Canis lupus familiaris: one gene and its partners. The protein of the gene in region 1 binds, or shares a complex with, the protein of each later gene. Links are inferred from orthologs where the notes say so. Each region holds a gene or a part of one and is shown in the gene's direction. Other genes may lie near its edges.

Region 1 (3,967 bases):
ACTGTTTTCCTGTAACAGTTGCACCATTTTACATTCCCAACAGTAATGCATGTTTCCATGTTCTCCATTTTCTTGTCAGCACCTAGTATTTTTTCTTTTGTTTGCTTATAACAGCCACCCTAGTGGGTGTGAAGTGGTATCTCATGCTTTATGAGATATCTCTTTCTATGAGGTATTTCTTTCCTTTATGACTAATAATGTTGAACATCTTATCATTTGCTTATTGGCCATTTATCTTCTTTGAAGAAATATTTTGTGTCTCTGTGTCTTTTTAAAAATTATTTTATGTCTGTTAATATATTCTCAAAACTGTGGCAATAGAGGTCAAAGATGATACTGACTTTTAAGAGAATTTTTGCTTTTTTATGATAGGTGCTTGATGATAGAATCAAAGCTAAACTTGTGATTTTATGTTTTTTACTTTTAGTTCTCTCTAAACTTGAGGAGTAGAGTTTTTCCAGGTCCCAACACAGAGCAAGTGGCATTCACTAGTGCCCTTAACCTCTTGGTGGCTCTAGGCTCCAGTGTCTGTCTCTCTAGTCCATGAAGACTGTCAAGCATACCATCAACTTCATAACCTTCCTCTTATTTTTTTTTAAAGGTTTTGTGTATTTATTTGAAAAAGAGAAAGTATGAGCGGGGGAAAAGGGCAGATGCAGAAGCAGTCTCCCCACTGAGCAGGGAGTCAGAGGTAGGGCTCAATTCCAGGACCATGGGATCATGACTTGAGCCAAATGCAGACACTTAACCGATGAAGCCACCTAGGCGCCCCTTAACCTTCCTCTTAGAATCAGAAAAGCCCCCAGGAGAAAAGCAACCCTAAATAACAGACATGCCCCTGTGCCAGTGCCCCTTAGTGCTGGCTCAATCTTTTTTTACTATTTTGTTTGCTTTATAGAGAGCTCTGGCTCTCCTAGTTTGAGAGCTCTGGCTCCTCCTAGTCCTAGGAGGATCGGTTTGCATTACCCAGTCCGTCATTGATAGGAAAGCAAGTTTTAATTTTCACAGAAATACTAATTCCTTACTGTCAAGTGCTTATTTCATTGGCTAATTTAATAAATATTACATGATTATAATGAGTATAACTAGCATATGTGTGTTTGTAACAAATGCTACTGATGATTAACCATAACTCAGTTGTTGAGATTAGAAATAAATATACAAGAGTGGTCTACTACTTGTTAATTAACTAATTAATTAATTATTTTAAAAGATGTATCTATTTATTTGAGAGAGAAGGAGCACATGCAGCGGAGAGGGGCAGAGGGAGAGGGAGAGAGAGTCCCAGGCAGACTCCAAGCTGGGTGGAGAGCTTGACACAGGGCTCAATCTCAAGACCTTGATATCAGGACCCAAGCCAAAATCAAAAGTCAGATGCTTAACTGACTTCATCACCCATTGTAGTTTGTTTATGAAAGAAGGATTGGGCACATGAATTAATCCAGGGGGTTTTTAAGTGGAGGTTGAGTAAGATAAGATGATCTCTGTTTCTTCTGTTTGAAGCTTATATACGATAGAGGTTCTTGTCTTAAATAAATCTGCTGTATGCACACCTGAAATTTTAAGGTATTTGCAATTATTTGCATTATTGGCTCTCAGGGTTTTTCGGTCCTGTTTTGGTTTTTTTTTTTTTGTCATCTTTATTATTTTTTTTTAAGATTTTATTTATTTATTCATGAGAGACAGAGAGAGAGAGGCAGAGACACAGGCAGAGGGAGAAGCAGGCTCCATGCAGCGAGCCTGACCTGGGACTAGATCCTGGGTCTCCAGGATCATGCCCTGGGCTGAAGGCAGCGCTAAACCGCTGAGCCACCCGGGCTGCCCCTCTTTTTGTCATCTTTAAAAAGAAATCTTATTTAGTCAGCAAATGTATCCTTCCTATTTTCTTCAAGGCAGCATGTCAGGTTCTGTGAGGAGACAGTCGTGAATCCTTACTGTCAAAAAAGGAAGAAAATGTTTAAAGAGAGAAGACATACACAGAAATAATTGAAATACAAGACATAGTGTGATGGGTTAAATAAGTATTTGGATAAAGTGCTCAGGGTTCAGAGAAGAATGTCCTCAAGGAGATTTCCCACTTTATTTTAAATGTGTTTAGCTTATTCTTTCAAATGCCATAGTATAATATATTTGAGACCTTAGGTTCTGGTTATGTATTAAACATTGTGAATTGACTTGTTAGGTAATTTTTAGATACGTAAGAGCTGAACAAGAATGTTCTTTTTGACTCTAGTTTTTAAGATAATGCTTGTGATGTAATTATGTGTACCTGAAATTTTTTTTTTTCCTCTTTTGGTCTCTATTTATAGGAAGAGCATTAAGAAGTTGGTTTTGAAAAACCTTAACAATAGCAATCTCTTCTCTCCTGTTAATCGTGACTCAGAAGATCTAGCTTCACCATCTGATTATCCGGAAAATGGGGAGAGGTAAACCAAATTTTGTTTCGAGTTGTTTCTGGTAGAGAGCCCTGTTCTCACTTTGAAGGGATTTCGAGCACCTAGAATGGTGCCAATCACTCAGTAAAGATTTAGTGAGGGTTGGCTGTTATCATTGTTATAAAGGACTGAGATACTGTTTCTTTTCTACCTTTTCAGATTCAGCTTCCTGAGCAAACCTGTCGAAGACAACCATCAGCAGGATGGAGATGATGATTCTCTTGTGTCACGTTTTTATACTAACCCTATTGCCAAACCCATTCCTCAAACCCCAGAGAGTGCTGGAAATAAACACAACAGCAGTAGCAGTGTGGATGATACTATTGTTGCATTAAACATGCGTGCTGCTTTGCGAAATGGGCTGGAAGGAAGCAGTGAAGAGACCTCTTTTCATGAGGAGTCACTTCAGGATGACCGAGAAGAAATAGAAAATAATACTTACCATATGCATCCAGCAGGTCAGATTCAGATTGGTACATGGGTAATCTTTTACCAGTCATTTGACACCTCTTATTTGTCACAGATACTCAATTTAGTGGAAGTCAGCTACCAGAGATCTTAAATGATTTTATTATGTTTATAGATGGTAACATTTAAACACTATTCACTTACGCTTTGATTCCTAATTCACATACTTTTTCTGCCTTTGGAGTGGTTAAAATTCATGTCATTAGTTATCCTGGTATAAAGATCCCAAATTTTATAGCCAGAGAGACTATCGTTATACTTTACCTAGCTTTATAAACTCAGATAGATTGCTTATTAGCTTTTTAATTAAAATAATACTGATAATTATCATATAAGGTTTTTGAGGTTTCAATTAGATTAGTATATAAACCATAATGCCTGAAATGTATAGGCATTCAAATGGTATCAGTTGCTCTGGTTAATTATTATTACCTCAGTTCTGTGCTTTGCTTTTTTTCTCCTCAACAGTGAACTGCTTAGTTTTTTTCCCAATGAATCCATGAAACACATAATATAAACTACAAGATTATAGTATGTCGATTGGTCACTTAAAACTTGCATTTTTAAATTTATTCATTCATTCATTCACTCATTCATTCATTCTCAAGTAATCTCTACACCCAGTGTGAGGCCCAAACTTAACCCTGAGATCAAGAGTTACATTTTCCACCACCTGAGCTGGTCAGGCACTTGGCTTGTCTTTTTCTGTGTTGACATATCTTATTTGGGTTTTCATGAATGTAATCACATTCTTTTTTTTTTTTTTTTTTTTAACCAAGATATAATGTATATGTAGTGAAGGACACAGGTCTTAAGTTTATTTCAATGAATTATGAGAGACAGAGAGAGACATAGGCAGAGGGAGAGGCAGGCTCCCTGCAGGGAGACCAATGTGGGACTCGATCCCAAGACCCTAGGATCATGCCCCCAACCAAAGGCAGTCACTCAACCACTGAGCCACCCAGATGTCCTGGTTCATTCTTTCTTATTGCTGAATAATAGTCCATTATAAATGTATGCCATACTTGGTTTATCTAATCTCTGTTAGTGAACATTTGGGTTGT
Region 2 (3,967 bases), on another chromosome or scaffold:
CTAAGTCAACAAAAGAAGGATTTAGTTTTTCTGTCCCTATGTCTGCTGATGGATTTAAATTTGGCATTCAGGAGCCTGGAAATCAAGAGAAGAAAAGTGAAAAGCCCCTTGAAAATGACACTGGTGTTCAGGCTCAGGATATCAGTGGTCAGAAGAATGATAGTGGTGTGATTTTTGGTCAAACTGGTAGCACTTTTACCTTTGCAGATCTTGCAAAATCAACTTCAGGAGAAGGATTTCAGTTTGGCAAAAAAGACCCTAATTTCAAAGGATTTTCAGGTGCGGGAGAAAAATTATTCTCATCACAAAGTGGTAAAATGGCTGATAAAGCTGACACTTCTGCTGACCTTGAGAAAGATGATGATGCCTATCGGACTGAGGACAGTGATGACATCCATTTTGAACCAGTAGTTCAGATGCCTGAAAAAGTGGAACTTGTAACAGGAGAAGAAGATGAAAAAGTTCTTTATTCACAGCGGGTAAAATTATTTAGATTTGATGCTGAGATAAGTCAGTGGAAAGAAAGGGGCCTGGGAAACTTAAAAATTCTCAAGAATGAAGTAAATGGCAAACTGCGAATGCTAATGCGAAGAGAACAGGTACTAAAAGTGTGTGCTAATCATTGGATAACAACTACCATGAACCTGAAGCCTCTCTCTGGCTCTGACAGAGCATGGATGTGGTTAGCGAGTGATTTTTCTGATGGTGATGCCAAACTAGAGCAGTTGGCAGCAAAATTTAAAACACCAGAGCTGGCTGAAGAATTCAAACAGAAATTTGAGGAATGCCAGAGACTTCTATTAGATATACCACTTCAGACTCCTCATAAACTTGTAGATACTGGCAGAGCTGCCAAGTTAATCCAGAGAGCAGAAGAAATGAAGAGTGGATTAAAAGATTTCAAAACGTTTTTGACAAATGATCAAACAAAAGTCACTGATGGAGAGAGTGAGAGCTCTGATGCAGGTTCTGCCAATGCCTCCGATACAATCAGCAAGCCAAATCCCGAAAACACAGGGCCCACACTGGAGTGGGACAACTATGATTTAAGGGAAGATGCTTTGGATGATAGTGTGAGTAGTAGCTCAGTGCATGCTTCTCCATTGGCAAGTAGCCCCGTGAGGAAAAATCTCTTCCGCTTTGGTGAGTCAACAACAGGATTTAACTTTAGTTTTAAATCTGCTTTGAGTCCATCTAAGTCTCCTGCCAAGTTAAATCAGAGTGGTACCTCAGTTGGCACTGATGAAGAATCTGATGTTACTCAAGAAGAAGAGAGAGATGGACAGTATTTTGAACCTGTTGTACCTTTGCCTGATCTAGTGGAAGTGTCCAGTGGTGAGGAAAATGAACAAGTTGTTTTTAGTCACAGAGCAAAACTCTATAGGTATGATAAAGATGTTGGTCAGTGGAAAGAAAGAGGCATTGGTGATATAAAGATTTTACAGAATTATGATAACAAGCAAGTTCGCATCGTGATGAGAAGGGACCAGGTGTTAAAACTTTGTGCCAATCACAGAATAACTCCAGACATGACTTTGCAAAATATGAAAGGGACAGAACGAGTGTGGGTGTGGACTGCCTGTGATTTTGCAGATGGGGAAAGAAAAGTAGAACATTTAGCTGTCCGCTTTAAACTACAGGATGTTGCAGACTCATTTAAGAAAATATTTGATGAAGCAAAAATAGCACAAGAAAAAGATTCTTTGATAACACCTCATGTTTCTCGTTCAACCACTCCCAGAGAGTCTCCATGTGGCAAAATTGCTGTAGCTGTATTAGAAGAAACCACAAGAGAGCGGACAGATTTAACTCAGGATGATAACACAGCAGACGCAACTTCAGAAGTTGGAGAAGTATCTAGCACATCTGAAGCAACAACAAAAGCAGTGGTTTCTCCTCCGAAGTTTGTATTTGGTTCAGAGTCTGTTAAAAGTATTTTCAGTAGTGAAAAATCAAAACCATTTGCGTTTGGTCACAGTTCAGCCACTGGGTCTTTGTTTGGATTTAGTTTTAATGCACCTTTGAAAAATAACAGCAGTGAAGTCAGTTCAGTGGTCAAGAGTGGGTCTGAAAGAAGAGTGGAACCTAATGGTGAAGAGTCGAAGAATTCAGATAGCAAACAGTCTTCAGACGGCAAAGTCAGAAATCTCTTTGCTTTTCCAAAGGAGGAGTCCTCAACTAATTACACATTTAAAACACCAGAAAAGGGTAAGCACTTAGTCTTTAATGTGAGCAAATTTTTCTTCCATTGATTTGTAACTATTTTGCTTAACGCATATACTCTTTGTAGAGTACTAATGTTTTAGTAAAAGTTGGGTCATAAACACAGTGCTTCATGAACAGTGAAAATACTGGTATAGATTTTTTTTTTCTCCCTAAATGTGTTTCCCTGTGACTGTTTAAATAGCAACAAAGAGTGGGTGTGTGTAGGTCATTTAGGAGATCTGAGTAACTGGAAGATATTTATATCATGTTTAGTGCAGAGAGCAAGAACCTAATATAGTACCAAAGTTTAGTGACTCGTACTTAAATCACAAACATTAACTCAAGTCTCATTTTTTTTAAGTGTTCATTCTTCAATGTAGTATTCTCTTGTCACTCAAAAAACGTGGTACTGAGATGTACATATAATATATATAAGGTAGTCTTACCACTATTTATTAAATGATCAAAGAATGAAACTACCAGGATAAATGAATATGTGAGACAGCCAAATTGGTATAAATTGAGGGTCTCTGGCTTTTTGTATTTTAAAATCACATTCACTTTGATTCTCAAAATGTTCAAAAACAAAATACTCTTTATTTTCTAGGATTTAATTTTAGCCTTTTTAAATCTAATCCAATGGCTTTTTGGACCAGCATCCCTTCCTCACAGCCTGAAAACAAAGGTATAGAGCTAGTATTCTCAGTATGAGATGACTTTTTTTTTTTTTTTAAAGGAGCTGGTAGTCCTTTGCAAAATAACTGGCTGTATGAAATTAAGGACTTAACACTACAATGTGCATGTTAAAAGAATGTCTGTTTAAACAAGTACTTTTTGACTGGTGGTGTATGATACCCTTTAATACTGTTTTTGTTTTTTTAATGTACTCAGATATCATGTTTTCTCACTCCTGTACAACAATATTTTGAGATAGATCCATGTGGTCTTTACCTTTTGCTGCTTTGTACTTTGTTACTGTATTATTTTCGACTCTGCTTAATGAAGACCTGTGTTTTTCTAACATTTATCTTTAGCCAAAGGTAATGTTTGTGAGCATGTATACACATGGAACAGTTTCCCTTTTAGTTATCCTTTTGGACAGGGTTTAGAAAAATAATATTTGAAAGTAGACCCCGTTTTTAATAGCGACCATTATATACCTGGTATGTTACAAAAGTCAATGTTGGTATTAGAGAGGAATAATAGGAAGTGGGGGGGGGGGTCTATTGAAGACCTTCAGGAGCAAGGGTAGGGAAATGTAAACTGTTTATTAGTATCTAATAACATATCTTGAGCAGCCCAACTATGTTCAGTGATAAAATGACAATCCTTGATTTTGGGGCCCATCATTTTTAAAGTATACCAATCATAATACTAGCTAACACAGCTCTTAACCTTCATTCTTAAGAATGTATTCCTTGAGAAATTATGTGAAAGTGTGGACTTCTTCCTGTAAATGACATATACTTGCATGCATACTATGGGACCCTGGGTTAAGAATCCCTGGCCCAGGCACCTGGGTGGCTCAGTTGGTTAAGCGTCTGCCTTCAGCTCAGGTCATGTTCCTAGGGTCCTGGGATCCAGCCTTGCGTTGGCTCCCTGCTCAGCAGAGAGCCTGCTTCTTCCTCTCTGCTGCTCCTCCTGCTTCTGCTCTCTCTCTCTCTTTCTCTGTCAAATAAATACAATCCTAAAAAAAAAATGTATCCCTGGCCTAAGAGCAAATTTACCAGTATAGTACAGTAGGATGAAGAGCCTTATTCTG
Region 3 (3,967 bases), on another chromosome or scaffold:
TTAATTAATAGAATAGAAACCACCCAGAACCATAAGCAACCCAGTACAACAGCAGTGATACAAGGTTTTTCAGGAAATTGTACACAGGAAATTGGGGCTTTGCAGTCTTCCAAGAAACCAGACTTCTTAGAACAATATGGGTTAGAAACATCAATAAACACTGTAATAGGTGAATTTTACCTAGAACTATCATATTTTGGTTACTTTTATTCGCGCTTACTATTTGACCGGGAGTTGGTAGTGCTTCACCTGTTTCATTTCATCTTTATAACAGCTCTCTGATGTAGCTACTCTTACTATGTCTATTTTTCAAATGGGGAAATTGAGGCCCCAAGAGGTAAAGTAACTTTTTCAGAGTTATTAGTTGTACAGACAGCAGGTGGCAGAGTACCAGGCTCCAGAGCCTATGACCTTGACCCCCGGGTCATATTGCCTCTTTATGTAAAGCTGATTACCGAGTGAGCACTAGGGAATGACCCTTCATTGTACATAAAAATAATTGTCTGTGTACTGATATTTTCTTTGCCCATAAAAAACGCATGAGGAACTTCCATTTTGGATCAAGTCCTGGCCTACCAGGAGGTCCGTAGACAAGCACTGTGTCAAAAGTATTATTGAGGAAGGCACACACAGGGAAAAAAAGAGAGAAGATGTCATTTTATTTCTCTATCACAGTGTGATAACCCTGTGAATTTCATGCATTCTAGATAGGACAGTATGTTAGTTATGATGTAATGGTCACAAAAAGGATGTTTATTCTTCTCACCTCCGTGAGCTTGCTCAGAACTAGCCCTCTCGTGGAAAAGCCTTCACTATGTTTCCCCAAGGAAAAGTGCTGTCCCAGGACAGCCATCCCGACTGTATCGAGGGGAGAGAGACATGGGCTTGGAAACAGTCCGTGGGAATATGACAGATTATGTGTTGCTAAATCCAACCCACTTTCTAATTTCTTTTTCTTGCTAGGGGCAGCACCCCCCACTAAAGAGTCACACCAGCTCGACGCATTCTCCTTTGGCGGGGGAGGCAAAACTTTTTATGAGCCAGGTACTGAAAGCTCCCCACCCTCGGGGATGGCAGCGCCACACAGCTCTGGAGCCACCACCACCTCTCCTGCGGAGCCTGCGCCTTCCAGTGGCCGACCTGCAGCACCTTCTGGACTTGCTGCCTCTACTGCCTCTGGCAAGCTGGAAACTCCACCATCCAAGTTGGGAGAGCTTCTGTTTCCAAGTTCTTTGGCTGGAGAGACCCTGGGAAGTTTTTCAGGACTGCGCGTCGGCCAAGCAGATGATTCTACAAAACCAACCATTAAGGCTTCATCCACAAACCTGACTGGTGTGCAGCCGGCCAAGACTTCAACCGTCCCCTCGGGGTTTAGTTTTACTGGCCCTCCCCTGGTAGGGAAGCATGCAGAGCCCCCCGTGACCTCCTCTGTGACCACCACTGCAGGGGCACCAGCGGCAGCTGGCACAAGCACTAGCAGCTCCTCAACTGGCATCTTTGGCGGCCTGCCCCTCACCAGTGCAGGATCCTCAGGGATAATGGGTTTTGGTGGGATGACCCCAGGTGGTAGCAAGACGAGTTTTTCCTTTGGCAACCAACAGACGAGTAGTATGGTACCCCCACCTACCCCCCCATCAGCAACAACTGCCACCCCCCTTCCTACCGCATTCCCCACATTGTCCTTTGGTAGCCTCCTGAATTCAGCATCTGCTCCCACCCTGCCTGTGGCCTCTGGGAAAAGCACAGAGGAATCCACGTCATCAGCTTCTCCTGAGAAGCCAGACAACAGTGAGGTCTCAGCCTCAACAAGCTCGCTTCTGGGGCCGCAGCCGTCAACCTCACTTCCCCAGGCTCCTCTGCAGACTTCCGACTCTGTTAAAAAAGAAGCTGCTGTGGCTCAGCCTGCAGCCAGCAGCCCTGGCCCTGCAGGCTCCAATACCAGTCTCATAGCACCTGGTGCCGAGGCCGCTCCAGCTGCCCCCACAGTCCCCGATGTCAGGACGGAATCAGCGTCTCCCACCTCAACGCTCTCAGCAACTGGGCAGAGCACTGTCACGGCTGCTGCAGTCCCCAGCGTGGTCCCTGTGGCCATTGAAACCCCAGGTCCCCCTGTAACCTCCAGCTCTGTTTCCAGTGTTGCTCCAAGCCCAGTCACAGAGACACCAGTGTTTGGGACTGCCACCGCGGGCTCATCTGTCTTCACTCAGCCCCCCGCTGCCAGTTCTAGCTCAGCTTTCAGTCAGCTCCCCAGCAACACGGCCACTGCCCCCTCGACCACCCCTGTGTTTGGGCAGGCGGCCGTCAGCACCGCACCAAGCCTGTTTGGGCCACAGACTGGCAGTGTAGCCAGCACGGCAGCCGCCACACCTCCGGTCAGCAGCTCAGGCTTTGGCAGCCCTGCCTTCGGCACCTCAGCCACCGGGGTCTTTGGACAGACGACGTTTGGACAGGCTCCGGCCTTTGGGCAGTCCACCAGCAGCCCTGCAAGTGGCTTTTCCTTCAATCAGCCTGGGTTCAGCTCTGGGCCTGCTTTTGGCCAGTCCGCATCTTCCACCTCCACGTCTGCCAGTGGGAATGTCTTTGGTGCCTCCTCAAGTACCAGTAGCTCCAGCTCCTTCTCGTTTGGACAGTCTTCTGCCAACACAGGAGGGGTGCTATTTGGCCAGAGCAACCCTCCCGCGTTTGGGCAGAGTCCTGGCTTCGGGCAGGGAGGCTCTGTGTTTGGTGGCACCTCTGCCACCACCACAACGGTGGCGTCATCCTCTGGGTTTAGCTTTTGTCAAGCTTCAGGTAAGAATTTACAGAAGACTCCCTTTGTTCTCCTCTGCATTATTTGAAACATTTGCAAAAATCCTGTATTTCAAATTAAAAGAAAGGAGGGGAAACAAAAGAGAGACTCCAAATTCAAGAAGGGCACCTCAGAGCACTGGCGGCCTCAGGCATTTCCTGGGCCTTGTCACCATCACTGCAGTTCTGCTCCTCAGCAAGTTCTCCAGTCTTAGTCAGCAGAGTGCCAGTTTCATGGGGAAAAACACACATCTTTAGCTTAAGGTCATAGCAAGGTTCATACCTTTAGATTTGGAAGGTGCTTAGAGGCTGTTAGGTCCCAAACTGTCAAGCCTCGAGGAGACTCATCTAAGGTCATGAGCCAGAACCAGACTCTGAAGTGCCTCCTAGTTCGCTGCCCTGCCAACATTTTATATCCTGCTGCCTCTGACGCCATCTTACTTGCTATGAGGGCAGATACTGATGTTTGAGAAGTTGTGTTTTTTCCCCATTTTCAGTGTAATTAAACAAAAATCTTTAAATGTTACTTTTTTAAGTAAAACACAATCCACTGTTGTGTGTCCAATTTTAGCAGCTGCCTTTACTTCCACAAGTTATCAATAAGACAATTTGAAAATAATTTCGCTTTCTGATAATTATCTTAGGGAAAAGGCATTTCTTCAGTTAGGCTGTGGGAGGAGAAACAGGGATTGATGAATTCTTGTTGGGCAAGGTTATGAATAACTGCTTATTCGTTCACATGGTGATGATTTATTTGAAAATGGTTCATAATTTATCAGGAAGGAAAATTTTTCCTTCCTTCCCTCAACAAATATTTGTTAAGCTCCCACTAAGTTCAGCTACAAGGACACAGAGCTGAAAGAGTCCTGAGATCTACCTGCTGCCCTATCAGGAGGCTGTTTGGCCTGTGGGAATTATGGGAAATGTGATGATGGTTGTGGAGAGTGGGCAAGGGGAAAGGCCTGAGGAGTCTCACAGAGAAGGGTGTTCCACACACTGGGGTGCATCCTTTTTCTGCAGTCTGAACCTGAGAATCCCTCATGCACAAGTTTAATCCAACTATTTGAACATAATTGAGAACCTCTGAAAAAATCTTTCATCTAGTAACTATGTGGAAAGGTACCTGAACAATATACTTAAGCCCTGGTGGAAGAATTGACACTTGCCTGAGCTCACCCAC
Region 4 (4,459 bases), on another chromosome or scaffold:
TCTCTCTTTCGTGCTAAACTTCAGGAAATATCGCTTCGCCTTTTCATTTTCTCTTCCCCTCCACTCCTTAAAACAACTTTGATGGTAGTCTGGCATTTGTATCTATGTAACAATGACTTTCAAAAAAGAATTGTCAGTGACCTTTGTCTCCCACCTAATGTACATTGTATCCCTCAGTACAATTTGTTCAAAAGAATGAACATGCCTGCTCTGATTGTGCCTAAATTATGTAATTCTGATTTCCAACTCTGAAGTAGAAAATATATAAACCCTTACCTCCTCCCAACCTCAGTGGAATGTTGGAGGAGTTGATAAATTGGGATTGTAAGGCAGAGGGAACATCTCTAAGATAATCAGCTATAATTAACATCATTTTCCTAATAGGGTTGTTTTGAGGATTAAATGAGATATAATAATAATCAGTACATTATCCTATAATGTGAAATTGGTAATAAACATCTGGCATAGAATAATAAATGGTAATGACTATATTTTAGTTGGAAAATTTGCAAACTAAAATTCAGTAACTAAAAAAAAGAAGATCCAGTTATTTGGGGTCCCAGGGTGGCTCAGTCAGTGAAGTGTATGTATGCCTTTGGCTGGGATCATGATCTTGGGGTCCTGAGATCCAGCCCCAGGTCTGGTCCTTGTTCAGTGGGGAGTCTGCTTCCCCTTCTCCTCTGCTCCCACCATCTGCTCATTTTCTTTCACTCTTTCAAATAAATAATGTTAAAAAAGAAAAAGATCCAGCTACTTGAGGGTGCTTAGGTAGAAAAATATTTGGTATTTATGAGATCTGTCTGGAAAGGTCTTCAAAATAATCTTCCCTGTTAGGGGTGGAGTAAAGGCCGCGAATTGAACTTTGGGTGTTCATTATTCTACTTTTGTATACATTTGACAAATGTAACAAAAGTCATGATTTGTTTCACTTAGATTTGTTTCAACCTATGCAACAATGTTGATGCAATACACTTGCCATATTGAAATGTAATGAAAACTTAGTTTGTAACTGATTAAATAGCTTTTTGAGATTTGTATACCTTACACCTCACTCCACTCCTCAGAGAGAAATGCAAGGAAGGTGTAACTTGATATGGAGATAATGACCTGAGTTTACGGCTTTTATATCGTAAATAGGCGTAATTTTCTTTTTTTTTAATAGGCGTAATTTTCAATAATCAGTCTCATCTTTCTGTTGATGTCGTCACTCATCATTGGGGAAAAAAACTACAAGGACCAGAATCCACTACACGACTGACGTCACATCGAGGCCCTCCGGTCTCCGAACCGGTTGCCCTCGCCTAATTTGAATGAGCCGATCGCGGCGAAAATTGGCGCCTGTGACGTACAGCAGCTTTTTTTTTTTTTCTTCGTCTTCTTCTTCTACAGCCGCCTTTCAAGGCTTCTTCCGCCTCTGAGTGTGTGGAGAGTGCCACTCCGAGACAGGGTGTTACCTTTCTGCTCAGGCATCGCGTCGGGCAGCCTCGCCCTTTCCTGGGGCTTCCGTGCGGCAGGAGGGCTCCGTTAGGGCGCCTCCAAGATGGCGACGCTGTTGGCGGTAAATTCGGGTAAGGGCGGCCGCGGCAGAAGGGGGAACTTGCTGGGCAGGACGAAGGTTGGTCCTTTAGTGCGAGGTGCCGTGAGGTTCCTCGCAATGCAGGCCCTCGCTTGTGGGTATGGTGCTTGCTTTGGCCTAGCTCTGGGCCTAGAGTCCCAGCCCTCCCCGGTTTGAATGGCGCGCCTCGGTGCTGCCGCCCCAGCCCTCACGGTGGGGTTTCAGGAGGGAGGCAGGGGGGTTTGGTCCAGCGGCCCCCCCCCCCATCTCCCCGCAGTGAGGCCGGAGGACCTGAGAACGCGCACTTCCGAGTAGGCGGATCCGACACGGTAGTGAGAGGGGGCCTGGAAGTCGGGGTGCATCCTGCCGGGAGGGGGGTGTCTCAGCCTTGGGCGGTGCCGCCCCTGAGGCTTTGGGAGGAGTGGGTGCGTTTGCGGCGTCCAGACTCTCGGCGCCTCATGGGCGGGGCGAGGATGCCTTCAGCCCTGCACGCGGCGGAGCTGGGCTTAAAAACACAATCCCCCCTCCCTCCCCCAAACAAAACAAAACGCAGTTTCCAGCTCAGTGACATACAGTTAGCTTTTTGGATTCAGTTTTAGCAGCGTGTCTATGACATACTGGTAGAGAATGTCATTCAAGAGTAATATTTCCTGTCCCCCGCCCCCCCCCCGCAGTGTTTTGGGGTTTTTTGGGGCGAGGGTGGGGTTGGGGGAGGGGTGCGAGTGCTTGGTTCTACTTGCCATAGGACTGGTATTACTGTAAAGTCGAAATCTGAATTCTGCAAATCTAGCCATTTCAGTGACTCTGTCCTACCTTTAAAAAAAAAAAAAAAAATGATAAAAGATTATGTTTATCGAGCCTCTGATATGTCCCCAGGCATTGGACTGTTGCACTTGCATGATTTCATCTAATCCCCTTTGCACACCTACGGAGAAGCTGCTATTAAGTACCCCAGTCTACAGACTGGTGAAAAAAGACTTGGGGGTAGTTAAGTAACATCACTGAGGGTTATAGGGTAATAATGGTCGTAAGCCAGACTCAGGTGTTTAAACTACTTAAAGCACAAGCTAATTCATTTTATTACATCAGATTTTCATATATATATGAATGCGGGTCATGAAGTTATGTTCTTTTTTTTTTTTAAGATTTTTATTTATTTATTCATGAGAAACAGAGAGAGGGAGAGAGGCAGAGACACAGGCAGAGGGAGAAGCAGGCTCCATGCAGGGAGCCCGATGCGGAACTCGATCCCGGGTCTCCAGGATCAGGCCCCGGGCTGAAGGCAGGTGCTCAACCGCTGAGCCACCCGGGCTGCCCATGAAGTTATACTCTTACTACGGCTGTCCCAATCTCCCTACCCAGATATAATCTTAAAAACAAGGCTTGCATGTTACACGTGTGGTTAAATACTATTCTTTAGTACATACCAAGTTACTGTCATTAAACATAAATCATTGGAGGAAAGAGGAAAAGGAGTTACCAACAATTGCAAAGAGTGTATACATTGTATAATGCCTTGTGACAGGAGTGTGTAATCGACAACACGGAAAGGAATCATTTTTCACAGCCAGGAGTCAGGAGAATATATGTATATTTAATTAAACATCCTAGGGTAGCAGCCTGAATGTCCATAAGTGGATGAGTGTATAAACAAAATGTAGTGTATACGGACTACGAGATGTTTGTCCTTAAAAAGGGAATCCTGTCACATGCTACAACATAGATAAACCTTAAGAACATTGTATTAAGTGAAGTAAGCCGGCCAAAAAACCAAAAAAGGATAAATACTGTGTGGTTCCACTTATGTTTGATACCTAAGGTAGTCAGATTCCTAGAAACAGAATGTTGGCTGCCAGAGGGAAGGGAGAAATGGGGAGTTGTTTAATGGGTTACAGAGTTTCTTTTGTGCAAGATAAAAAATTCTGAACGTTTGTAGTACAACAGTGTGATGCCCTTGGCTACTGAACTCTACCCTTGAAGATGTTTAAGATAGCAAATTCTGTTAGTTCTTTTTTCCTACTTCCCCCCCCCCCCCAAAAAAAAAAAAGCCAAATATCTTATCGTAGACAGGGAAAAAATAGAGGTTGTAGGGTCTAAGACCTATGCTTGAGATTCAGCGGCATGATTTATTGGTGTTGTGACCTGTTGTCATCCCAGATGAGCAGACATACAGACTTGTTGATAAGCAGCCATTGATTGACACAGGCCTTCTGTGGCCATCTGGTCACCCCTGTCCTGTTCACGGCAGTGACTATCTCAGACTTTTCCACATTCCTCAAATCTTGTCTTCCAGCTGATCCCTCAGCCTCCTAGTCACAGAGAAAATAGAAGCCTGTAGGCATGCACTCTCTTTTTTTTTTTCCACCCTCAAACCTACAAACCTGGATCTATATCTATACTCGTTTTCACCGGTTTCCCTTTGTCTGAGTTAAATCCCACCTCTTATGCCCTTCTCCCTACTACCTTTTCTCTCTCGGATATTCACATCTCTTCTTGCTCCCTTTCTTTCCACTAGCCTCTTCTTTGGATCTTGATCTCATGCCTTGTTCCAGTTACTATCCTCTTGCTCCTCTTCACAGTCAGACCTTTCAAAAGATTCATCAGTTTTTACTGATACTATTTCCATACCTCTTCTTCCCCTACTCACTCTAGTTTCTTCCCGTCCCCTTAAACATTAGCTTTCAATAAAGTAAATGTGTTTTTCTATTTCTTTTTTAAGATTATTTATTTATTTATTTATTCATGAGAGACACACACAGAGAGGCAGAGACACAGGCAGAGGGAGAAGCAGGCTCCATGCAGGGAGCCCGATGTGGGACTTGATCCCGGGTCTCCAGGATCACACCCTGGGCTGAAGGTGGCATTAAACTGCTGAGCCACCCAGGCTGCCCTGTTTTTCTATTA
Region 5 (4,495 bases), on another chromosome or scaffold:
ATAAAGAACTAATACAACGTAAGCACCCCAAAACAAATAAACTAATTAAAAAATTGGCTGAAGACATAAACATATATTTCTTCAAAGAAGACATTCAGATGGCCAACAGATACATGAAAAGATGCTCAACATCACTCATCACTAGGGAAATGCAAATAAAAACTACAATGAGACATCCCCTCAGCTGCCAGAATGGCGAAAATCAACAACACAAAAAATAGCAGGTGCTGGCAAGGATGTGGAGAAAGGGGAACCGTCTCCCGGTGTTGGTGCGAATGCAACCTGTGCAGCCACTGCGTAAAACAGTATGGAGGTTCGTCAAAAAATTGAAAATAGAACTACTCTCATGATCTAGTAATTGCACTACTGTTACTCAAAGAACACAAATACAAATTCAAAGGGATACATGCACACTGATGTTTGTAGCAGCATTGTTCATGATAGCTAAGATATGCAAGCAGCCCAAGTGTCCATCAACAGATGAGTGGATAAAGGAGATGTGGGGTGTGTGTGTATGTGTGTGCGTGTGTGGGGAATACCATCCAGCCATAAAAAATGAAACCTTGCCATTTGCATTGACATGGATGGGGCTAGAGAATATTATGGCAAGTGAAATGTCAGAGAAAGACAAATACCATATGATTTCATTCATATGTAGAATTTAAGAAACAAAATAAATGAACATGGGGGGGGGGGTGAAGAGAGGCCAACCAAGAAACAGACTCTTAACTACAGAGAACACACTGATGGTGACCAGAGGGGAGGTGGGGGGGGGAATACGTTACATTGGTGATGGGAAATAAAGACTGCACTTATCATGATTAAAGAAAACAAAAGAAATTTAACAGAGTTTTATAAAAGAACAGTCTCCAGGCACCCCTCACACTTTCAAAACTCTTGTGTGACTTTGCTCAGTGTCTCCGCCCGAGTGGGTGTCAAAAAGTACATTTTGATGACCTCTCCCCTCATGCTCAGTCATATCTGTTTCACTCCCTCAAAACTCCCCCTCAAAGGGAGAGCCTCAGCGGGATTCGGTTTCTAAGTCGCAGCTGTCCACACCTCCTCGACACTCCCATTCCCTTCTCTGGCTCTGCTGTCCCTTGAGCACAGTCTCTGCTCTGACCCTCAAGGTCACGGTCTTCTCTGGCCCCTCTTTCCAAATTCAGTCTTAAGCCAGACCAGAAAGCCCCCAACCGGAAGGCCCCACCCAGCCCCCTACCCTCCCACCCAGTAGCGGATAGAAGGCAGCCTCCGAGGGTGAGGTCGTGACCCTTACCCGTCCGTAGGCGACCCCCCGGCCAGCCTCCGCGCGCCCTCAGCTTGCACCCAAAGGCCTCGGGCCGCTGGCGGTCACCCTTTTCTCCCCACCAGCATGAGCCGAGGATCGGCCGAGATGCCTCCGCCAAGGGGATTGGCTCAGCTCGGCGCCGGCTCAGCCAATCGGCGCTCACAATGTGATCCTGTCCAATGAGGCCAGGCCTCGGCTGTGAAAGCACAGCCCCCTTGCCCTGGGCCTGGCCTTTGTCCGCTTAGCCCCACCCACCACGGCTCCCCGCCAATGGGGAGCAGCGGCGGCGAGCGGGCTGCCAATGGGGAGCGGAGCCGCGCGCGCGGGGCGGTGGGAAAGGCGCCGAGTCAGTGTGTACGTCGGTTGCCGTAACAACGGTCCGCGGAGTCCATCGGCAATGGTGAGTGGGGGCCGCCCTTTGGTGCCCCGCGGCCAGGGGCTGAGCCCTTCTCAGGCTTCGTGTGGCCCTGCCGTCGCTCCCGCGCCGCTCTCGGCTTTGGAGTGCCCCTACTTCCTCTCGGCTAGTTCCCGGAAGGGTAGGGTAGAGACGTCGGCCGCCACCTGGGCCTGCGGTCCTGCGCCGCCTCCCCTTCGTTCAGTCTGCGCCCACCCATCCCTCGGGCGCGCGTGGCCTTCCCCTGCCAGCCCCCGCGTGACTGCCCCTGGTCAAAGAATACTCGGGTTACCCGCAGGCTCTGACCTCTCAGACCCTGACCTCCTGGTCGCTTCGTGCTACCAAAGTTTACCCACAGACCTGGGAGGAGGTTTATTATGTTTGATTGTTAACGTGCATTCTGAATAAATACAGGGATCTTTCGGGAGACGTTTTGATCTAATTAAAGTAGGCACAGACCTGCCTAGTGGATGGAATTTTATTATACACCTTAGCAAAGTAGTAATATTGGGCCAAATGTAGAAGTAATCACAAAGTTGGAGTACAGAGAGGAGGAATACTGCGAGCCAATGTTGTAAGGGCTTTTCTTGAATTAGGATCGCCAAATTCAAGGACAGCTGATCATCTGTACAGTTATCCACAGTCAGCTCCTTGGCTGGATCTCTTTGGGGATGATTTTCAATAAGAGATGTGCAAAGGAACACGGGATCTCCTTGCTTCTACAAAGAATAGGAAAAAAGAAGGAGGGATAGCGGTGCACGGAAAGATTGTTGTTTCAAGTAAAGCCCTGTTATCTCTCCTATTAAGCAAAGCTGTGGAATTGCTTGGTGTAAATATTTTATGTAAATATTTGTAACTATTTTATGTAAAATATGGATTGCATCACTTAATATCGTACTTCTGTGTTTGTAAAACACCTAAAGGCCTCTAACTTTAAGAAGGCAAGCATGGCATCATCTGCCCAACGAAAAAGGATGAGTCCTAAGCCGGAGCTGACTGAAGAGCAGAAACAGGAAATCCGGGAAGCTTTTGATCTCTTTGATGCTGATGGAACTGGGACCATAGACGTAAAGGAACTTAAGGCAAGCCCTTTACATTCCCACTGTACTGCCTTCCTTTCCTCTACTTCTTTCTCTTCTTTCCTTGTCACTGCTCTACCCCTTTTGCCCTCTTTTCCCTGCAAAAAGTTTTCCTGTTTTTCTCTTCTCCTGTCTTTATTTACCTCAAGTGTTATAAAATAAAATTGAGCACAAATATCAATCTGCATAACGCTATAGTGTTTCCCAGTCATTTTAACATGATTGTGTCAGATGCTGGCCTCATGCTCTCACTGTCATTTTTGTTCCTGCCAGGTTTTGATGTGCATATTGACATGATCCTGTTTTCATTGTAGGTGGCAATGAGGGCACTGGGCTTTGAACCCAAAAAAGAAGAGATCAAAAAAATGATAAGTGAAATCGATAAGGAAGGGACAGGAAAAATGAACTTTAGTGACTTCTTGACTGTGATGACTCAGAAAATGGTAAGTTACTAGGATAATCAGCCTATTTTCCACCCATATTGGTGAACAAATTTGAATCTAGATATAAAAATGTCTTCACTGAAGAAAGGTTAATACCAACTGGAGGGTTCTGCTGAAAAAGGGCAGTACTTATGACTGACAGGATGCTTAGGTTCTATCTGGCTCTCTTCAAGGCCACAGAATCACAGGAAAAGTCAGTTTACCCTTTGAGTAAGAGAACTGCTGTCACTCTTTTGTGATTATTTTTTTCCAACTGATGTGTTAACGTGCTGACCACAAGCAGTAAAACCTGTAAACACCAGCAATATTGCACTGCCTGACAATATGAAATGCCTATACTTTAAAGGTCAAAATTCTTTTCTCTCTCGTTTCTGATTCTGGGCGGCTCTAGCCTGAGGGCGGGTGACTTCTGACAGCTGTGTTTTCCACTACACTGGGAATTTGGCCTTTCAGCACTTTCATTTTTTTTCTTTTTTTCTGATTTTATTTTTTATTTTTTTATTTTTATTTTTTGGAGTTCGATTTGCCAACATATAGTATAACACCCAGTGCTCATCCCGCCAAGTGCCCCTCTCAGTGCCCATCACCCAGTCACCCCAACCCCCCGCCTACCGCCCCTTCCACTACCCCTGTTCATTTCCCAGAATTAGGTGTCTCTCATGTTTTGTCACCCTCACTGATATTTTCACTCATTTTCTCTCCTTTCCCTTTATTCCCTTTTGTTAACTTTTATATTCCCCAAGTGAATGAGACCATATAATGTTTGTCCTTTTCCAATTGACTTACTTCACTCAGCATAATACCCTCCAGTTCCATCCATGTTGAAGCAAATAGTGGGTATTTGTCGTTTCTAACGGCTGAGGAATATTCCATTGTATACATAGACCACATCTTGTCTATCCATCCATCTTTCGATGGATACCGAGGCTCCTTCCACAGTTTGGCTATTGTGGGCATTGCTGCTGTAAACATCGGGGTGCAGGTGTCCCAGCGTTTCACTGCATCCTTTCAGCACTTTCAAGGTTGAAGTCACCCATTCCCTAGTGCCTCACTTGTCCCCATTTTATTTTTTAAAATTTTATTTATTTATTCATGAGACACACACACACACACACACACACACACACACACACACAGAGGCAGAGACACAGAGGGAGAAGCAGGCTCCATGCAGGATCAGGCCCTGGGCTGAAGGCGGCACTAAACCACTGAGCCACCGGGGCTGCCCACGTGTCCCCATTTTAAAGGATCCAGAGGATCAAGAAAGACTATAATATGTCACTTGAACAAT
Region 6 (4,651 bases), on another chromosome or scaffold:
ACCAAAAACCGTATTAGTGGCAATATTACCTTTCCTTTTCGAGTCAACAGTGATTTATAGAAATACTTTAAAAGGTTAGGTGTTCTAATTTTGTTTTTTTTTTTTTTTGGGGGGGGGTTTCCTTTAACCTTTAATTTTTAGAGTTACACCATCATACTAGTTTTACCTGTCCAAATTTAGTTCATCCTTCTAAGCCTAACATATAGGCCAAATCCTTCAAGAAGACTTTCTTCTGTCCTACTGGTTCTCTCCCTTCTTTAAACATATATATATATATATGTTTATATAATAAAAATATATACCTAAACACATATATAAATATATACATAAACATATATATATATATTTATTTATTTATGATAGTCACACACAGAGAGAGGCAGAGACATAGGCAGAGGGAGAAGCAGGCTCCATGCACCGGGAGCCCGACATGGGATTCGATCCCGGGTCTCCAGGATCGTGCCCTGGGCCAAAGGCAGGCGCCAAACCGCTGCGCCACCCAGGGATCCCAACATAAACATGTGTATTAAATATATAAACATGTTTATACGTATAAACATATTTATATATAAACATATATAAAAACATATATAAACATATATATGTTGAGGATATATATATATATATATATATATCCTTTATACATAGCCCATAGTGTTTATACATCTTCCCCCTTACCCTGCCTCAACGCCATATTCAGGCTATTTCACTCCTTTATAAGGGTTACAACTTAGTTCAGTGATTTGTGGGTTTTCACAGCAAGATCCCACCCAACGCAACAAATATTCATTGAGCGCCTGTGCATCAGGCACCGTATCAGGCACTGGGATCCGCGTTAAATGAAAGATACCATCCTGCACTTGAAGAAAGCCTAGTAGGAGTGATGAACAAGTAAACAAATTACCCAGGTGAGCTTCAAGAACTTAGTTTGGAGCTTAAGATAATATAACGTGTATAAGCAGCTTCCAACCCTGTAAAACAAAGGATGCAAGAGAACAGATCCCTTCAGGGAGGGAGAAGGGAGCTAAGGTACCGTCAAGTGCCGCTTTACCGTAAGTAGCCTAATAATCCAACCCATTAGATATACAATCTATAAGCGACAGCACCTGCCTTAAAAGCACGTGGGATTGTAAGGGGGAAAAAAATGCAAATTCATACCTACTAAAATCAGAATTGGGAGGACGGGACGTTTAAATCTGCGTTTTAAACAAACTCCCCATGGACTCAGGCCACCCAAGGTTTTAGAACACAGCGCAGTCAAATTCGGCAGGCCTCATTCCCCAGCCGCTCCCTCCCTTCGGCTAAGGAGGCTGGCCCCGCGGCGCGCCTCTCCTCCCTCCCTCCCTTCTCCCCCGGAGCCGTCCATCTCGTCGGCGGTCACCCAGCGGGAGGCAAGGTGCAGCCACCTACCGCCCAAACTACCACGCAGACACCTGGACCCTCGCTCCGCAAAGGATTCCGGGAAACCTCAACAAGCCAATAAAGGGCGGGGAGGAGGGGCAGAAGAAGAGGGACGAGCGGCTTCTTTGATTGACGCGAAGCACGCCCAATGAGAGCAGAGGACCAGGGACGCTTCCGCCTCAATGGGCGGGCTGTTAGCAACGTCAACCAATCCGACTCCGAAGCGTCTACCTTGTGGGAGGTCCTTGAGGCCGCTGAGGTCGTTGGTGTCTGTTGAACGGCTTGTGGAAGTCGTGCTGCCTTGGGCAGGGCGTTAAAGTCGTTCTCGAGGGGAACGTCTCTGTCCGAAGAGAAAATGAGTTTAGCTCTGAGGTCGGTAATGAGGAGGCCGCAATGCCCTCCACACCTCGCAGCGGGCCCCAGGGCTGGCGTGTGTAGAAGGGAGGTAGCTGGGCCGAGGCGAGCTGGAAGGGGATGCATTTTGGGATGAGGGCGAGGAGCCTCGGCCAGCCTTCCTGGCTCGGATTCCTCACCCTGGGGGCCCTGGTGCTCCGCAGGTGAGGAGTCCCGTGCATTTGTGCCGAGGTAGTTAGCGTCTGTATCAGCGCGTCGGGCTTTGCACCACCGAGGAGATGGGTTTCTAGTTGGGAGGAGGGAGTGAAATATCGCGATGCTTCTTCTCGCGGTGTTTCTCCGCGAAGTCAGGCCGGGGAGCCTCCCTGGGTTCAGCTCCGCCCTCCGGGTCTCCGGCCCCTGCAGCCCCTGCAGCCCCTGCAGCCCCTGCAGCCCCTGCAGCCCCTGCAGCCCCTGCAGCCCCTGCAGCCCCTGCAGCCCCTGCAGCCCCTGCAGCCGTCAGACCGAGCTATAAATTTTGGAAAGAGCTTTAAACTCTTCCTTGCTCTTATCCTGGGGCCCTGCTTTAAGATATAACGGGCGACCCATATAAATGACTTTAATTGATTTCTCAAAAAAAAATTTTTTTTTAGTTTTGTTTACCTTTCATTGACTTCCAATCTCTAACCCCGTTCGTTGCCCCCAGCAGCAGCAGCACCTAGATGTTTTTACACGTTGCACCTTAAAAAAAAAAAAAAAAAAAAAAAAAAAAAAGGTGGTTACGCCTTTCTGAACAGGTGCGGCTTTGGGTTGGGAGATGATGGTGGCAGCCCTGCCTCGACCCCGTGGCGGGTCCTGCTGTTGACCTGGCCGTCCAGAGAAGGTGACCGCGGGGACTGGGGTCCCTGTTCGCGCGAAGTCAGGTGTCTTGTGAAAGGTTGTCCCCCCGCTCTGTTTATTACTATAGGTCTCCTGGTCATCTTCTGATCGTCTGTCTCTTGACGGTTTTGTGGTAGGTTTTTAGAAAGCAAAACACAGGCAAATAGGTAAGGTGTTTTTATTAAATAAAATCAACTAGGCTTTACATTTCAAAGTGTTAGGAAATTGGTTTCAAACTTCTTGTACGGATGTTGCGGCACCATTCGAAATTTTGGAACACTAAGATGAGTATCTCTTAAGACATACCTGGCTTTTTTTTTTTTTTTTCCTTTTTTTTTTAACATTTATTTATTCTTGAGAGTTAGAGAGGCAGAGACACAGGCAGATGGAGAAGCAAGCTCCAATGCAGGGAGCCCGGTGCAGGGACTCGATCCCGGGACCCCAGGGTCACGCCCTGGACTGAAGGCAGGTGCTCAACCGCTGGGCCACCCAGGGATCCCCATTTCTGCCTTTTTAAATAAAATCTACTTTCAAGAAATTTCCAGGATTTAGGAGAAGCTATATCTAAATTTACAAGTGAAATTTAGAAAACCATGGACTCTTCACTATGGGGTGAGCAAGGCTTTGACTCATGGAAGAAAAATTTCATTTTTCTCTCAAATAATTCCTTTTAAGAAATTTAAAAAATATAGAAAATTAGCACAAACATTCTTGTTTTGGCTTTTAATTTTCATGGTATATTTAGACTTCAGTATTTCGGTTGATTTGTTAATATCAATGGAAGAAATTATAAATAAAGCCCCAAACTTAGCAATGTGTACTGTAAATCACTTTGAACCCACAATGCCACAAACTTTGTAAGTTAATTGTTAAGTGATACGCTTTTTTTGGTAGTAATTTTGATAACTTATAAATGCTCTCAAAAGTAAGCCAAATATGCAATGATCCTCAATTATGAATTTTCCTTTGATTAGTTTAATACTATGTTGTAGAGTAATGTTAATAAGTAGGAGTGCTTTAGTTTTGTTGCGATTTCTGTGATGAATAATTTTTTTATTCACAGTTATTTCTTCCACATTAATATCAGAATAAATACAAAGCCAGAAGGAAAGAAAGTTAGGTCCTTTTTTTCTTATAATAACATGTAACACTTTTCAGTTTTGGAAAGTGCAGATTTATAGCAGCTTAGACTATGGATTGAGCAAGGCTTTGACTCATGGGAAGAAAAATTTCATTTTTCTCTCAAATAATTCCTTTTTAGAAATTAAAAAAATTCTTCCTTGTTTAATTTCTTTGTCGCATTTTGAAATTTTAATTATCTAGATGTGTAGGAGAATAGAATTAAAGTAGACTGAATAGACTTTTCTTCTCATTTCATAGAAATGAGCTTGTAGTAGACAAAACAAAGAGAAAAAAAAGAAGAGAACTCTCTGAAGAACAGAAACAAGAAATTAAAGATGCTTTTGAACTGTTTGACACAGACAAAGATGAAGCAATAGATTATCATGAACTAAAGGTAATAATGTACTTTAAAATGTATATTTTTCTGTTAAAATTGTTTGCATTTTCTATAGTTGGCTAAAATAACCCATCTAAAGTATTTTAACTAAACTGGTTGTGGAAATATGAAACCATTTGAGATGTTCACAGTTAAGTGCTATAATAAAATTAAATACTAGCATCTTTTTAGACTTTCCTTTTCACACTGTGAAGCGAATAGTATTTTAAATATAAAAGTATATTACTATGGTAGGGCCTTATTTTCACTCATGTAATAAAAAGATTTCAAACTATAGGTTTTAAACAGTTCTTACTGTATTTTTGCCACTGCTGGGTTTTTTTTTTTTTCATTTGTGTATGACTCATTCTTTTTTCACATTGTGAGAGTGTTCTTTTAATTGGAACACGTTAGTAATACATTCTGTACATACTTTCTCTAGTGCAAACAATATAAGTGATGTCTGATGTCAACGCAGTGCTAATGGGGGAAAATGTCAACTTTAGGGCCTAGAATTATTTATAAAGATGTGAGGGAAAA
Region 7 (4,164 bases), on another chromosome or scaffold:
GTGCTCTCCCCTGTCTGGTTCCCTGAAGGCAACGGGTCCAGGGGAGGAGTCATCTTGGTGCCAGTCCCCAAGCTCTAGGGCAGCACATGGGCTCATCAGTCGCTCCTGTCCTTGGATGTTTGCAGCCTGTGGCAGCTGGGAGTGGACTACTTTGACTACTGCCCTGAGTTGGGCCGAGTTTCCTTGGAGCTGCACATTGAGCGGATCCCCCTGAGCACTGAGCAGAAAGCTCTCAAAGTGCTGCGGATTTGTGAGCAGCGGCAGATGACTGAGCAAGGTGAGCCCACCCTCCTCCTGCATGCTTGCTGCTCATGCTGCTCTGGCCGGACTGGAGAACGGCTGGGCAGTGGGTGCCAAGAGATAAGCCAAAACAGGAAAATTATTGAGGAAGGACAAATGGCTAGGGAGGTGTCAGGACTTAAAACAGTGGAGCACACGGCCTTTTAAAGAGATCCTGACCCACTTCCTCTCTCCTGCTTACTCTAAGAAGGTCAGGACTGAGGTCAGCTTGGAATTTACTTCTCCCAGGTGGGTTGCTATTGCTAGCTAAGACTGTCTCAGTGGGGAAGCAGGATCAGTCGCAGCTCAGGAAGAGCACAAAAAGAAAGCTGTTCTATTTTCGCCCTCTCCTTTCACTGTTGAGGGATAAAAACCCAAGTTCTTTCTAGAGGCATCTGCTTGCTTATGACCATCGCTGAAAACGTATGGATGGCATTCAAAACCCAAAGGATGTTTTTGGCACCTGGACAAATGCCCTATTAGCTGACCTGTGAGGAGCAATAAAAATCTTTTTGTACTCCTAAAATCAAACCCACTCACAAGGTCATTCCTGCCAGGATGGGACATAGTGTTAATAGAACCAGGAGGCAATTTATAAGCCCCAGAGTCCCCAGTGTTGGCAACAAGTTGTATTTGGAACCTGTGAAGAGGCTGCAGAAAGCTCAGAGGAGAGAGAAGCCTACTCCTATCTGGCAAGGTTCAAGAACGGCCTGATCTGCAGGGTGAAAAGTTCACCTTCTTTTTCCTTACAAAGTCCGCAGCATTTGTAAGATCTTAGCCATGAAAGCTGTCCGCAACAATCGCCTGGGCTCTGCCCTATCTTGGAGCATCCGAGCCAAAGATGCTGCCTTTGCCACGCTGGTGTCAGACAGGTGGGCTCAACCTCTCTTGGCTTTCTGGGGACTGTCTGGGAAGTCGGGAGGCTGAGGAAGGTGGCCTGGGACCGCTGCTCAGACCTCTGGGCCGGGCCTGGCAGGTTCCTCAAGGATTACTGTGAGCGAGGCTGCTTTTCTGATCTGGATCTCATTGACAACCTGGGGCCAGCCATGATGCTCAGTGATCGACTAACCTTCTTGGGTGAGTCTCTGGGCTCTGTCCCTCGGACCTTCAGCACAGTGATGGGTTGTGCAGATGGGAGGGACTGATTTAGGCTTCTCCAGTGTTTCCTTCCTGTTGAGCCCAAATTCCTTGAACTATGTATGCCAGACTCTACAAAGCATATTTTCTGGAAACATTTCCTAGTAGTGTCAAACTTGAGAAAAAGGTACAAGAGTAATATAAGAAGTAAGGAGCTCCCATGTACGCTTTCTCGAAATTCACCATTTTTATTTTGCCTCATTTATTATTCTCTCAGGTTTTGGGGGAGTAATCTGAAAGTTGGAGTTTCTTCCCCTTTCTTCATAAATACTTGAGCACGTGTTTCCTAAGAGAAGCACATCCTCTTCTAGAACTAGCTATCCGAATGTACCGCTCTCATAAAATCTCTAGTCCATGTTCTGGTTATTATCAGCTCTCCCAGTGACGGCTTTTGTCACGTCCACATTCACAAATTCAGTTTTCCTGTCTCTGTAGTGCTTCTGCATTTCTTAGTGCTTCTGCACTTCTTCACCTTGACTTTTTTTTTAAAGATTTTTATTTATTTATTCATGAAAGAGACAGACAGCCAGAGGGAGAAGCAGGCTCAATGCAGGGAGCCCGATGTGTGGGACTCGATCCCAGGACTCCAGGGTCACGCCCTGGGCCAAAGGCAGGCGCTAAACCGCTGAGCCATCCAGGGATCCCACCTTGACATTTTTGAAGAGTCTGTTCTGCTTTCTTATGCCCTTATTTTGGATTTATGTCAGGTTTCCTCATGATGAGATTGAGACCTATGGGTTCTTCAATCTGTTGCAGTCCACGTCTCTGGTTTGGTTTGGTGGTTACATTCTGGGAGGTTGGCTCTTTGGAGCTCCTTCAAAATGTATGTGTGTGTGTGTGTGTTTATGTGTGTTTTCAATTCTGTTGGTACATGAGTTTCGAGACCGTTCTGGAAGAGTCTCCCTGCTTTGGAGCAGCTGGTCTGGGGTTTCTCATCTTGTTTAGGGCCAGAGGTGACTCAGTGCTCTGTTTTCTCAATAGGAAAGTACCGCGAGTTCCACCGATTTTATGGGGAGAAGCGTCTTGCTGATGCAGCTTCTCTTCTCCTGTCATTGATGACTTCCCAGATAGCCCCACGGTCTTTCTGGGTAATACTATTAATAGATGCCTTGCCCCTTTTGGAAGAGAAAGAGGTACAGTTTGAATTCAGAATGATTTTCTTCTCTGTGTTTTGTAGTCCTTGATTGTGCTTCATTCTGTAGCTGTTGTGGGTGCACATCCACACATCATCTCCCAAGTAGGGCCCTGCACGTATGTGTGCATTCCCCTGTAACGCCCACTCTGAAAATCTGGTATCTACCCAAGAAAAGCTACTTAATTTGAAATGAAGCAGCAGTCTACGGATAGTACTCCGCCTAGGGCCCTGACAGGAAGGGCTGAGAGTGAGCATAAGGGCTCTGTCCTCCCAGAGCTGCATATACAGAGCTCACTCCTCCCAAGGGTTTGCACAAAGGCCATCTCTGAACCCAGGTGCATGCCCAGACCAGTGCAGCCCTTGCCTGGGGAGCAACTAAGCAAAGCAGCCACTCCTCTCTCTCCTAGGTGGTTTTTTCAGCAGAGCAAACATATGAGCTGATGAGATGTCTAGAGGACTTCGCCTCAAGAAGGCCAGTGTGGAGAGAGCCTGGTGTTCAGCGACTCCAGGTTATTTTAGCTTTTGGATTGTTGATTCCATAATGGTGATGAGAAAAGGCTCCTTCCATCTTAGACTTCCCTACTTTCCTCCAGAAACACTGGCTCCTTACAAACTTGTGCTTCTTGAGTTACCTTTTAACCTGTTATTGACACCCCCAACTCTTTAGTAGAAAGTAGGGTGGTTCTAGTGTTCTGTTCTTTTCTTCTGGCGGTCACAGTGGGCCTTTGCATGTGGTTCTGTCAACTTGCTGGAAGCTAGTACTAAATGCTAAATGCCCTTGGTCTGCCTTTGGGTCAGATAGAGCCTTGCAGAGCTTTAAAGAAGGAACACTTCTGCTGTACCTCACGCTGGCTCTGTTTACTTTTAGGAGGACGTGGAGAACACGAAGTTGGAAATGCTGAGACTTGCTCTTGCACGAAATCTTGGCCGGGCCATTATAAAAGAAGGCTCACTGGAAGGATCCTGAGGTCAGCCAAGAGCTGCTTCAATGTGTCATTTTCATATGGCAATGTATATAGATTTCTGAAAAAATAAATTTTTCTTCCCCCAAATAGAAGGCAAATTCTTGGAGTCCAGCCTAGGGAGTTTCCCCTCTACTATGAACCTGAGGTTGGTGGTAATTAAGAAAGTGCTTGTTATGTTTTCCTTGGATGGAACTGGTCTCCCTGTCTTCCAAGAGAAAAAAAAGCCACTCCTAGAAGTCATGACGGTGAGTGCAGTGCCCTCCTTCCCTATTAGCTTAAACAAGAGTGGTCAGTGGTTTACTTACGCTTCTGAAATTTAGCCTTTACAATCAACTGGAACCTTTACCTGGTTTTTACTTTAGAAAAGGAAAAGGTCCAGGAACCTGTACTTTGACCAACAAAAATCTCAGGTGATGCCAGCATATCTACCTGTATACGTCTGGAATTCCTAAGTGGTGCTTTGTCCACAGTAGAGTGAATGGTCATCTGTATTAGGATTCCAGGTAGGGCAAAAATGATTTTATTTGACATGCAGCAAAACAAGGGCAGCAGAGTCAGTATATTGTACACAGCCATTTGTCACAAAGCAGTGACTTCAGTAGTAACACTCAGATAGTTTTAATGTCTAAAGCTTATTATAAAGGTGTA

What was found.
Region 2: NUP98 (region 1) and RANBP2 share a complex: the UniProt entries of both Homo sapiens proteins name them as parts of the nuclear pore complex. The link is inferred for Canis lupus familiaris from reciprocal best matches to the Homo sapiens genes NUP98 and RANBP2.
Region 3: NUP98 (region 1) and NUP214 share a complex: the UniProt entries of both Homo sapiens proteins name them as parts of the nuclear pore complex. The link is inferred for Canis lupus familiaris from reciprocal best matches to the Homo sapiens genes NUP98 and NUP214.
Region 4: NUP98 (region 1) and NUP205 share a complex: the UniProt entries of both Homo sapiens proteins name them as parts of the nuclear pore complex. The link is inferred for Canis lupus familiaris from reciprocal best matches to the Homo sapiens genes NUP98 and NUP205.
Region 5: NUP98 (region 1) and CETN2 share a complex: the UniProt entries of both Homo sapiens proteins name them as parts of the nuclear pore complex. The link is inferred for Canis lupus familiaris from reciprocal best matches to the Homo sapiens genes NUP98 and CETN2.
Region 6: NUP98 (region 1) and CETN3 share a complex: the UniProt entries of both Homo sapiens proteins name them as parts of the nuclear pore complex. The link is inferred for Canis lupus familiaris from reciprocal best matches to the Homo sapiens genes NUP98 and CETN3.
Region 7: NUP98 (region 1) and NUP85 share a complex: the UniProt entries of both Homo sapiens proteins name them as parts of the nuclear pore complex. The link is inferred for Canis lupus familiaris from reciprocal best matches to the Homo sapiens genes NUP98 and NUP85.

Annotation. Positions count from the first base shown.
Region 1 is NC_049242.1:26,405,344-26,409,310, reverse strand, and holds part of NUP98 (nuclear pore complex protein Nup98-Nup96), read left to right. Parts: intron 1-2,309; coding exon 2,310-2,426; intron 2,427-2,594; coding exon 2,595-2,893; intron 2,894-3,967. UniProt on the Homo sapiens protein: Plays a role in the nuclear pore complex (NPC) assembly and/or maintenance. NUP98 and NUP96 are involved in the bidirectional transport across the NPC. May anchor NUP153 and TPR to the NPC.
Region 2 is NC_049231.1:36,161,669-36,165,635, reverse strand, and holds part of RANBP2 (E3 SUMO-protein ligase RanBP2), read left to right. Parts: coding exon 1-2,208; intron 2,209-2,812; coding exon 2,813-2,890; intron 2,891-3,967. UniProt on the Homo sapiens protein: E3 SUMO-protein ligase which facilitates SUMO1 and SUMO2 conjugation by UBE2I. Involved in transport factor (Ran-GTP, karyopherin)-mediated protein import via the F-G repeat-containing domain which acts as a docking site for substrates.
Region 3 is NC_049230.1:52,962,852-52,966,818, reverse strand, and holds part of NUP214 (nuclear pore complex protein Nup214), read left to right. Parts: intron 1-963; coding exon 964-2,790; intron 2,791-3,967. UniProt on the Homo sapiens protein: Part of the nuclear pore complex. Has a critical role in nucleocytoplasmic transport.
Region 4 is NC_049237.1:12,345,800-12,350,258, reverse strand, and holds the start of NUP205 (nuclear pore complex protein Nup205), read left to right. Parts: upstream 1-1,411; 5' UTR 1,412-1,540; coding exon 1,541-1,568; intron 1,569-4,459. UniProt on the Homo sapiens protein: Plays a role in the nuclear pore complex (NPC) assembly and/or maintenance. May anchor NUP62 and other nucleoporins, but not NUP153 and TPR, to the NPC.
Region 5 is NC_049260.1:122,023,669-122,028,163, reverse strand, and holds the start of CETN2 (centrin-2), read left to right. Parts: upstream 1-1,549; 5' UTR 1,550-1,589; coding exon 1,590-1,688; intron 1,689-2,605; coding exon 2,606-2,764; intron 2,765-3,075; coding exon 3,076-3,204; intron 3,205-4,495. UniProt on the Homo sapiens protein: Plays a fundamental role in microtubule organizing center structure and function. Required for centriole duplication and correct spindle formation. Has a role in regulating cytokinesis and genome stability via cooperation with CALM1 and CCP110.
Region 6 is NC_049224.1:18,661,540-18,666,190, forward strand, and holds the start of CETN3 (centrin-3), read left to right. Parts: upstream 1-1,616; 5' UTR 1,617-1,756; coding exon 1,757-1,773; intron 1,774-3,993; coding exon 3,994-4,129; intron 4,130-4,651. UniProt on the Homo sapiens protein: Plays a fundamental role in microtubule-organizing center structure and function. As a component of the TREX-2 complex, involved in the export of mRNAs to the cytoplasm through the nuclear pores.
Region 7 is NC_049230.1:6,129,861-6,134,024, reverse strand, and holds the end of NUP85 (nuclear pore complex protein Nup85), read left to right. Parts: intron 1-125; coding exon 126-277; intron 278-1,033; coding exon 1,034-1,151; intron 1,152-1,255; coding exon 1,256-1,356; intron 1,357-2,397; coding exon 2,398-2,549; intron 2,550-2,958; coding exon 2,959-3,060; intron 3,061-3,419; coding exon 3,420-3,518; 3' UTR 3,519-3,603; downstream 3,604-4,164. UniProt on the Homo sapiens protein: Essential component of the nuclear pore complex (NPC) that seems to be required for NPC assembly and maintenance. As part of the NPC Nup107-160 subcomplex plays a role in RNA export and in tethering NUP96/Nup98 and NUP153 to the nucleus.